Linked DNA regions of Drosophila melanogaster. The protein of the gene in region 1 purifies or fractionates together with the protein of each later gene. This does not show direct contact. Each region holds a gene or a part of one and is shown in the gene's direction. Other genes may lie near its edges. The genes, in order: spir and capu.

Region 1 (4,848 bases):
TCTGCTTGGTAGACATTCGCTGTTGTCATGTGCGGCGCGCCGGTGGAATCCTTTATCCTTTATCCTAATCCTACCCTCGCAGGATGCCGTGCTAATTGCTGTTGCGGCTTACAATGGTCGAGGGCAGTCGTTCATGCAGACGTCGGGTCTTTTCGGCTTGGGTGATGTTGAATTTTCAGTTATTTCTTCATTGATTATTTCTATTTTTGCTGAGTGAGTTGTGGTATTCGGCTTTCTTTGCTGGAGGTTTTCTTTCAGAAAGTCTAATTCGGCAGTTAATTTCGGTGCCGTTGCCCATGGGGGCGGTGTTTTATTTGTATATCATAGCCACTTAATATGTGCTATACCTTTATTTTTGATTTCCTGACATCCGCGTTTGCCCATTACCACACTCTACTCACTCAGTATTTTTGTTTCTTTTTTTTTTCATCAGTGTCCCGTCTCTAGGTCTCCCGCACTGGTGTAAGGGGCGGCCTGCCTCTCACACCTGTTGTCGCTGTTTAGAATTCCCAAATCAAATCGGCAATATTAGCAGCATTTCCTCAGTAGTCCTCAGATCGCAGGCTCCTGCCTCACGGTCGCCATGTAATAAACCAATATATGCCACCAATTGAGAACACGTGTTTTCCTTGCAGTTGGGTGCAGCCGTCAGGCCACCTTTTTATTTCTTCTTATCTCTTCGAGTAGCAGAAACGGTTCTGCCCGCTTAACCTCTACAGAGTGTCTAATCTTACCTAAATACTGCGACTGCGCCGCCGTCGACAGCGGCAGAAGAGCAGCGTATATATATATGTATAAGAGAGAGAGAGAGAGAGCTTATGCGCATATATGGCCAGCGGCCAGCGTGGGGATGCTGACTTAGCTTAAAGCATAAATGGGTGATCTTATATCACGCTCACTTGAGACATTTATTTATGCAATGCAACTAAGTGTTGCTGTGTACTTATAGGTACAGTGTACCCTCGATATATGCACATACTACAATATATTCTTGTAATCAATGTTTATATTATGTAAATCAGCTGTCGCTCCCCAAAAATTCCTTAATTCCAATTAGAAGACAACGAAAAAATTTCTCTTTATTTACGAATAAAAATTGTCCCTCAACTCCAATTGGAACGGCTGATCCGTCAACATTTTAGTCGGCAACACTTTAGTCTGCAACATTTGGGAATGTTGCATCATCTTGTTGCTATGCATGTTTCCACGGAAAAAGAGAGTATATCATAACAAGAGACCATTCACTTTTTTCGTTTTGAAGCAACAAATTTGAAAAGAGAAAACTTTATGTTTTTCCCGCGGGCTTGTTTGTTTTTTTTTTCTCGCTCTCCGTCGAATTGACTCTACATTTTGATGTGATCTTATTATTAGGTGAATCAGCTGTCTTCAAAAGAACAGTTTTAATTAAAAAAAAAATCCCTCAATTCCAATTCAAATTTCATTTAGAACACAACGAAGATATTTCTCTTCTTGTACGAACAAAATGCTCTCTTAACTCAAGTTGGAACGGCCGTTCCGGCAACATTTAAGTTGGTAACATTGTTGCATGCTGCATGCATTTGAGCACAAGAGTGTCATTTACGATTAGCAACTCGCGGCGAACGGACGTGTGTAAAAAATAGCCGGTGAGAAAAAACGAAGTGCGATTGCCGAAGAAAAACAGAGAGATTTCAAATAATAAAGAAATGCAAATGAAACAGAAGAAAATAAAAATAAAGCAAAGTGCGTGATTTCCATCTCCTCAGTGTTGTGAAATTTCTAGCAGAGTCTAACGGCGATTTGCGAATGCCGACTTAAGAAGTGCGAAAACAAAAACGTGACGCCAGTTTAAAATATTCTCAAGCGAAAATCATGTGTTTTTTGTTATACCCTGTGCTTTGTGTTTAATGTAGCTGACGACAAACAAAATATTAGAATCGTGTACGTCGGGAATCCGAATTCCATCCCCTCGTGTTGTGTTATTATTGTATTAAAGTTTCCTTTGCCATTTACCACACACAACACAGAAAAACAACAACAACAAAACTAAACCAAAATCGAACCAAAAACAAACCGCGAATTTTGCAGGTTAGCCCACCCGAAAGAGGCAAAAAAATCAATTATATGTTGGCCAGTGCCGGGTTTGCAGTGGAATCGGGTTGAAAGCCATCGATAGCCACACACGCCCACACACATAATGACGGAGCACCAGGCCGAGGAGCAGGCGGACACGCCGCCCACCAAGGTCAAGGCCACGCCCACACCCACCCCGAGTGGAAAGTTCAAGGACGCGAAGGAAGACGCCTTCCTGTCCACATCGCCGGACAGCGCCAACGGCGATGCCCAACACAAGCTGCCAGCGGACCAGCTGGCCATGTCCTCCAGTGCGCATCCCCAGCAGGCGGGCCAAGCCCGCCCGCTCATCCTGCAAGCCTTCCACCGCTGCTCCTCGCCAGAACAGTGCGTCACGCTGCACGACATCCTGGACTCCTTTAAGGCGCCGCTCTCCGAGGACCAGGCCTGGGCCCTGATCCACCAGTTCGCCGGGCTCTACCACCAGGTGGCCGTACAAGCGCACACCTGTGCCGCGGACTACGAGGCCGCCCTGCCCACCGGATTCGAGCTGCACTTCCATCGCGACGGCAGCGTCCACTTCTCCGGCCCGGATCAGCTGACGCCTAAGGAGCAACTGCAGCAGGAGCAGATCCCCCTCCCCCCGCAGCACGACGTGATTGTGGATCAGCCGGACCACAGCGCCAGCAGCAGCGGCGACAGCAGCGTCATCAACAGAGGTAAGCAGACCGACCTACTGAAAAATCAATATGCATACATATTTCTCACGGCTACAGTTAGCGGAAATTAATATTCCTGCAGTTTATGCCAGTTGTTTAATTAACGGAAATTAACTTAGTATGAATCTTCTATTCCTTGAATTTTTAATTTATTATTTTTTAAATCATGCTGAAAATATTTGAACTAAAATTGATCTATAGTCATAGTTATTAATGTTATAACATTTATTTATTAACGTGCTGCACACAACTGGCAATCTTTAGAATCTATATAGAAGTGGAAATGTTCAATACAACATTGATCAACTAACAATTTGGATTGATAACCTAATGAACCTGCCAACCCCAAATGACATTTTAATGTCGTTTTTCCTTACAATTATAGTAACATGTTTTAATCACAAATAATTTATTGTACATTGCACGCAAATGCAATTTGACTACCTTTAAGCTAGCAACCCGTGTATATTCTTTCGACTTTGTGTTAAGTTCTGTATCCTTTGAGCAATATTTCCTATTATTTTTTATGAGTCTTCCTAAAGATATATATATAGTTTATGTGTATTTCGGCCCGTCAGAGGTCAGTTGGGTGTTGACTTCAGATGCGGAACTGTAACAGTGATGAAAACTGGGGCTGTGATTAGCTGGGCCGGAAAACCGGTTGCGCTGATGCCTCTCCGAATGCTGAGGGGTCTTTGTCTTTTCGGCAAACGCTTTCATTTTCAGTTAATAAGCCACAGTTAACTTCTTTCTCTCGGCCTTTTATTTTCGGACATCTGCCGTGATGTGGGTTTCCGTGTGCCATCCATCTGACTATTGGCATCGCCCGGCCATCGCCAGCGGAGTCCCCAGCGCTTTCCAAACAAACAACCCACACTATCCGCCATCCGATGATGACCTCTGCATTTAAGTTATGCAGCCAGCCAGCTTTGATTGGGGTTTTCCCCACTTCTGCCTTCTGTCTGATTGCGTGCTGGCTTGGGAAAGTGTAAACGGCGACTCCCATGAAGAAGGTACCATCCCAGTACCCTATCAGCAGTGTTTTTCACTTTCTTTTGTAGCTCGGAGAGCACAAGTATCACTGGAAGAAAGGCAGGTCATGTTCGGATTGGGCAGAAGATTGAACGCTTTTCCTTGCCGCAATACAATCGAATCCAAATCTACGAAAGTAGATTTTTTCCAGTGTAACGATCACAGCCTTTCCTTTCGGCATTCCCCCTGCATTCGCTGTAATTGATGGGGGGATACTTTTTCGCCTCTCGATCTCTGAATCTACAGAACGTGTCTGAGTCTGTCTCGCAGCTAATTGTTTAATCATTCGTCTGCGCGGGGACTGTCAAAATACAGGTCGGTAATCTATCGACTTTTAGATAAGCCACGTTAATTGGAAAATGCGTTTCTGAGTGGGTAGTGATGGGAATCTTGGATTTCGTTCTCCTAGGTGGCCCTTAATGTGACTCAGCTCAGCTTTTGGTCTGCAGCATTAACTGCATTCCATTGCATCTTTCTTCGTATGGGCCTGTCTATCTCTATTTGGCCAGGCCAACTCTGCCTATAGCCGGCTTTTGTATCAGCGTGGCCAATTAGTTAGCTCTTATAGACAATTAGCCAGTTACATGGGTAATCTTAAGGGCACGCAGATACAGGAAGTTACAGTATTAATTGAACTGTGTAACTCGGAGGTGAAGGAACTATAGATGGCTGATAATGCTGTAGGAAGTCCTAGGGGATTTTAAAACCCATTTCAGTATACTACTTAAAATTCAGAAATTTTCTTTTATAAATAACTTAAAAAATGTTCTTAGCTCTTAAACCTCTGTAATTAAAGGTCTGTGATCGTCAATTTCTTATCTAAATTCACACGTAACCTTTGTTTATGCTTATCATCAGAACTTTCCTCGGGCCAAACAGAGATCACCTTGTAACACCTTAATTGCCGCTAATTCAGCCGCTAAAATCCAAGCCATTAGGTGAGATATCGAAAGGTTTTGGCCCGGGAACCTCGAGAACCGCCAGCGGGGGCAATTAGTCTGCTCAAACAAGTTATTACAGATGGGAGACGGACCAGACGGGTGGA
Region 2 (4,936 bases), about 16 Mb from region 1:
CCCTCGGTGACCTAAAATTAGATTGTGTAAATTTGCAAATTAATTTGCCATTGCACAAAGAGCTCCGTGCAATTCAGCTCGGCAAAATCAGAGCACACAATATCAATTTATTTACTGTGCAATCTGTAAATAGTAGAACATGGAGTCATTAAATTGCAACTGCTAAAAAAAAAACTTGAAAATTTAGTACTGCCAGTCAAAAGTCCAAGTGAGTTGCATTTACATAAAAATAGGCTAACAAAAAAAATATCTACACAGCGTCATACAAGACCGCAAAAATATGGAAATTCAAATAGAAACAGTATCTTTTAGCAAAAAGAGAAAATCTTTAAAATAAAATCATAATAGCCGGCAAATGGAATAATCAACAGACATCAAAACGAATTCGAATTAAATTTTAAACTGCGGGAAGCTTAAAACCGATTTTGTAAACTACAACTGGGTGAAAAGTTCAATACAAATACTTTTATTTACTTTTCACCTTCATTTGTGAAAGGTGATTACCGAAAAATCATCAGCCAACTATAGCAAAACTTTCTCCCAACTTGCGGATGAAACAAAAATGATACAAATTCCTTTTTGCTTTCTTTTTTCGCTCTAAAATTATAAAATCGAAATGGGTTGTAAAAACAATCAGTTGTACAGAATTCTTTGCTTGCTTTCGATTGTTAGTAAAACCCTTGAGCACTCAGTGATATTGTAAAAATACACAAAATATTTAATTGCACAGCAAAGTATAAAAGAAGGGGGAATTATCTTTAATCCAATACTTGTTTAGCTCTGTTATGAAATATTTGAGTAATAAATCCACATAATTGATACTTTTAACAAACAAAATAAAAACGTAATATGTGAGCATTAAAAATGAAAAATGTATCAGTATTTTATTTGAATAATTGCAAGCGGAAGCAAGGAATTTAGTAAAATAAAATAATTTCGTTTTTGAATGAAGGTTACATAAATTTCTCTTAGCGATAAAAACTATTTAATGGATATTAAAGATTTAAGGACATTGTAAATAGATAAACAGAGTAAACCAAAGAGTTTAGAAATTTAATTTGAAATAAATGTGTTTAAAACATAATCGAAAATATTTATTAGAATAGTGAATAATATCTGCATTTTTATGAATGGGTTACTGTGGCGTTGAGTAAGATACATCTATAAATGGTATTTCTTATTTAATTAATGATCTTACTTTTAACTATGTATAATAAAAAAATAGTTTTAAAAATAGTTAAGGAGTTTTATTTAGTCCCCGAACAAACTCAGACCACCCACGCATTTTTCAAGTATCCACCTAGATATAAACAAAGATGTACTGGTAATCCAAAACCAAATATGATCAAAATAGCCAATAACTTTAGTCTAAGTCTGCGACTATATTAAACTGTCCATTTTCGTTCTATAATTTTTACTCAAACTAAATGTAAACTATTAAATCTGCTTTTAAAAAAAAAAAGAACCGAGAGAACAGAAATGTTCACGCCAGGCGATTGAAACATTTTACTGACCTTTTTAGTGCGAAACCAAAAGTTTAAACTAATTTTAATTGTAAACCTAGACAGTAATGATATACGATATATTATACAATGTAAATCAGAATATACGATAATTATAAAGTAAATAAAATGAAATTTAAAACAAGCAGTTCGTCTACACCGTTCAATTGGGTTAGGCATACAAAATTCTGTCAAAATTTGTGTAATTTTTCGTTTCCTTTTTTTTGTTGTATATCGTTTTGGTAAGATGATTGTGTATCCAATGGAAGAGCTCTATCCGGCTATGATGGTCATAGCCATCACATTGTTAGCCCTTCTGCAATGGGGTATTCGTGCCACAATTAAGCCCAAAATATTGGGCCCACAGAAAAACGCAATAAAAAATGGAGTAAACAACAAAAGGAGGAAAGTCCTCTCCGCCATGCAGGTAAATTGAAAAATGTTTGCAATTGTTTTTACCATCTATCTATGCTCTTTTTGCGGTGCGCACAATTAAGGTGGAAAAATGTAGATCGACTGTCAGATATTCTTACAGAAACTGAATATATTTTGCCTATCTGAGCATTAAACAACAATGACCATTAATGATTTATCAGATTTAAAGACCAGTATATATGTATAATATATAATTAATAATCTTCATATATATTATTTTTAATTACTACAACTTAGGCACAACACTAGTATTTTTAACAATCATTGCACTTAACAGATTTTTGTTTTGATTTTAAAAAGTGTATTCAATTATTTCGCAACTTTAAAACTCAATTTTTGTGGAATTTTATTTTTTGACTGCTTGGCAACTCTGACCACCAATGCGTGCCTGTGTGTGTGTTGCTTGTCAGTCTGCGTGTGTGTGTGAGTTTGCGCTGCTGGCAAACCGCAAAATGGTGACATTGTGCAAATAAAAAACAATTTACGATAAACATCAAATTTCCACAAATTACCTTATATTTTACGTGAGTTGCGAAACAGATTGTAAAACGCGAAAACACACACAAACCGAGGGAAAAGTGAAAAAAAAGAAAACCGCGATTCGCAGATTTTACACTGCAATGAACATTTTGTTTCACTGTTCACCATTGTTTGCCAAGTGTGGAATAGGGGCGAGAGGTTTGGAAACTTGGGGGCGTGGCTAAGAGAGGTGCCACTTTAAGCGTGCCGCATGCCCCCACCTGAATCTCGAATTTTGCAATTATTTTTATTGCTCGCCATTTTGCTCGTCTGATGTTTTCCACGTTTTTTTTTTTCACCCCCCAGCTGCAACCTGACGGGGGTTGGGGAATGTGTTTGGGGGCAGAATAGAGGTCGTAGGCCATTTCGAGGGCCCTTCATAAATTTCCACAGTGCGGAAGAAGGAAAAAAAATTATTCTTTATATGAGGGAAATAAATAAAAAAATGCTTGTTAAGCTGCGGCGCTGTATGTTTGCGCATAAAAAGCATACAAATTATGCAGGCACTGTAAGAGATTAAAAACTAAATAAAAATAAGTGTGAAAAATTGCTTCCTAAATATATAACGAGAAACCCTTTTCAATCTTAAATAGTATCATTGATCAAACTTTTCAATCGCACCTTTATCAACACCTCAGATTTTCAGAGCAAAAGAGATTTGCAGCCATCTTGACATTTGTCGGCCAGTATGAGGCGCCACTTTCCCACGATTTTCCATTTCGAAGAGCTCATTCCTGCCCCCTAATTGATGTCGCCAGGTGTCGTCGAACCACATAAACAGGGCTCAACGGCAAAAAAAAAAGAAATCCAGAACAGCCAGTTCACTGGCCGCATTGTGCGCCAGAGGGCCAATAATTAGGAGTGTCTTTAAGATGGGTCTAAAAAATGATAAGAGGGCTGGAAAGCAGATAGCGACATGACCAACTCAAATAGGCAGCGGGGAAACTTGGCCTAGACTGTGTTGACTTGCTGGCCAATGTAATTAGGGAGCATTAGGATTAGACCGACTGTTCCCAAGCAGCGGATAACAAAGCACTGCACAGAGAGAAGATAATTAGGTCTAATTTGTACTATTAAATATACTTCTTTAAAGGTATTAAATAAAAATTCTACTTAGCTCGTGGGAATATCAGAAATTAAATGCCAAGTAGTTGTTAGAAAAATATTGAATAATCCTGAGAAACATACTTCTGATTTTCAGTGCAAACGCAATAAGCCAACTAAAACTTGGCCAACGGCAAGTTGGAGAGAAGGAGCAGAAAATGTGGTAAACTTTTTGCTGTTTTGGCGTAAACAAAAATAAATCAATTTCTTGGTGCGCACAATTGTTAAGATAGTAGATAGGACAGAGTCCATAACGACAGGACCGAACAACAGGATAAGTCCGCAGAGTCATGTCAATGGCCGGCGGCTTTCGAGAAATGGAAATTTCGAAAGACGCCAGGCATTTTTCCTTAGATTCTTTTGCAAATATTCCAAATTCAACGGAAAGTGGAATAATATTTGCACGACTTGCGTATGTAAAGCCACTTATACCTGGGACCATGCTGATTGCATTTGGAAGTATTTTCAGGTGCCTGTGGCAAATTTAAATATTCAAGTGACCTTTAAGAAGAAGTTTTTATAAACAAAAACAATTTAAACATTTCTTCTTGGCACAACTCATATACAGAGTTCCGTGGATTTCCGTGGCATCGCCGATAATTATTTCTTGAAACATGCTAGAATTCAATTTCTAAAACTCCAATCAAATTACCAATATACACGTCTCGAACAGAAACCTAATTTGAATGCCAGCGAAGCGGGTGAAATGTAGTTAACTTTCAGTCGATTTAGTTTGGTTTCGAGCTCCCTTCAATAACCCTTGTTCTAAGCTCCAAGTCCCCCATACCGTCACCATTAGTTCTTATTCCCCGGGTTCTTGTCGCTATTTCTGCTGTTCCTGCTGTTGCATCGCATTCTCATTGACAAGTTTAATTGATGGGCGTCAGCGTCAGCTTTTGGCTTCAGCTCGACGGAGTTTGGGGAAAAGGCCATGGCCAAGACACCATCCCGCATACCCCACTTTGCCCATCACACTCTGACCCCCGTTGTACAGTACACCCTCGATTACCGGAATGGCGACGCGACAAAACCGCAGAATCTAATTTGGCACAAACCACCAAAGCAATTAAAGTTGCAGCTCTGCAAACGGTGTCCGATGCGAATGTTCCCCAACTGTCTATCTGTCTCTGTCTTTCCCTCGGCGCGTTTGTGTGTGTGTGTGTGTGTGTGTGTGTGCGAAGGTATCGGTGTGGGTGAGTCCCTGTGTCGGTGAGGTGTCACTGCTATATGAATCGCGATAGCAATCCAGAAAATATCACACTTTTGACCATTATGCGGCTTAAAAATGAAAACTCAACAGAATCAGTAACTAAAGATTGTTTTATGAATAAATACTTTTAGAATTGTTCTTTGAAACTTGTTCTGATTTTTGTATC

Evidence for each region.
Region 2: the proteins of spir (region 1) and capu purify together in Drosophila melanogaster (affinity purification with western blotting, with the first as the bait; one study listed by BioGRID). This does not show direct contact.

What each region holds. Positions count from the first base shown.
Region 1 is NT_033779.5:20,309,644-20,314,491, forward strand, and holds the start of spir (spire), read left to right. Parts: upstream 1-1,575; 5' UTR 1,576-2,176; coding exon 2,177-2,771; intron 2,772-4,848.
Region 2 is NT_033779.5:3,899,588-3,904,523, reverse strand, and holds the start of capu (cappuccino), read left to right. Parts: upstream 1-1,663; 5' UTR 1,664-1,929; intron 1,930-4,936. UniProt on the Drosophila melanogaster protein: Acts as an actin nucleation factor and promotes assembly of actin filaments together with spir. May play a role in intracellular vesicle transport along actin fibers, providing a novel link between actin cytoskeleton dynamics and intracellular transport.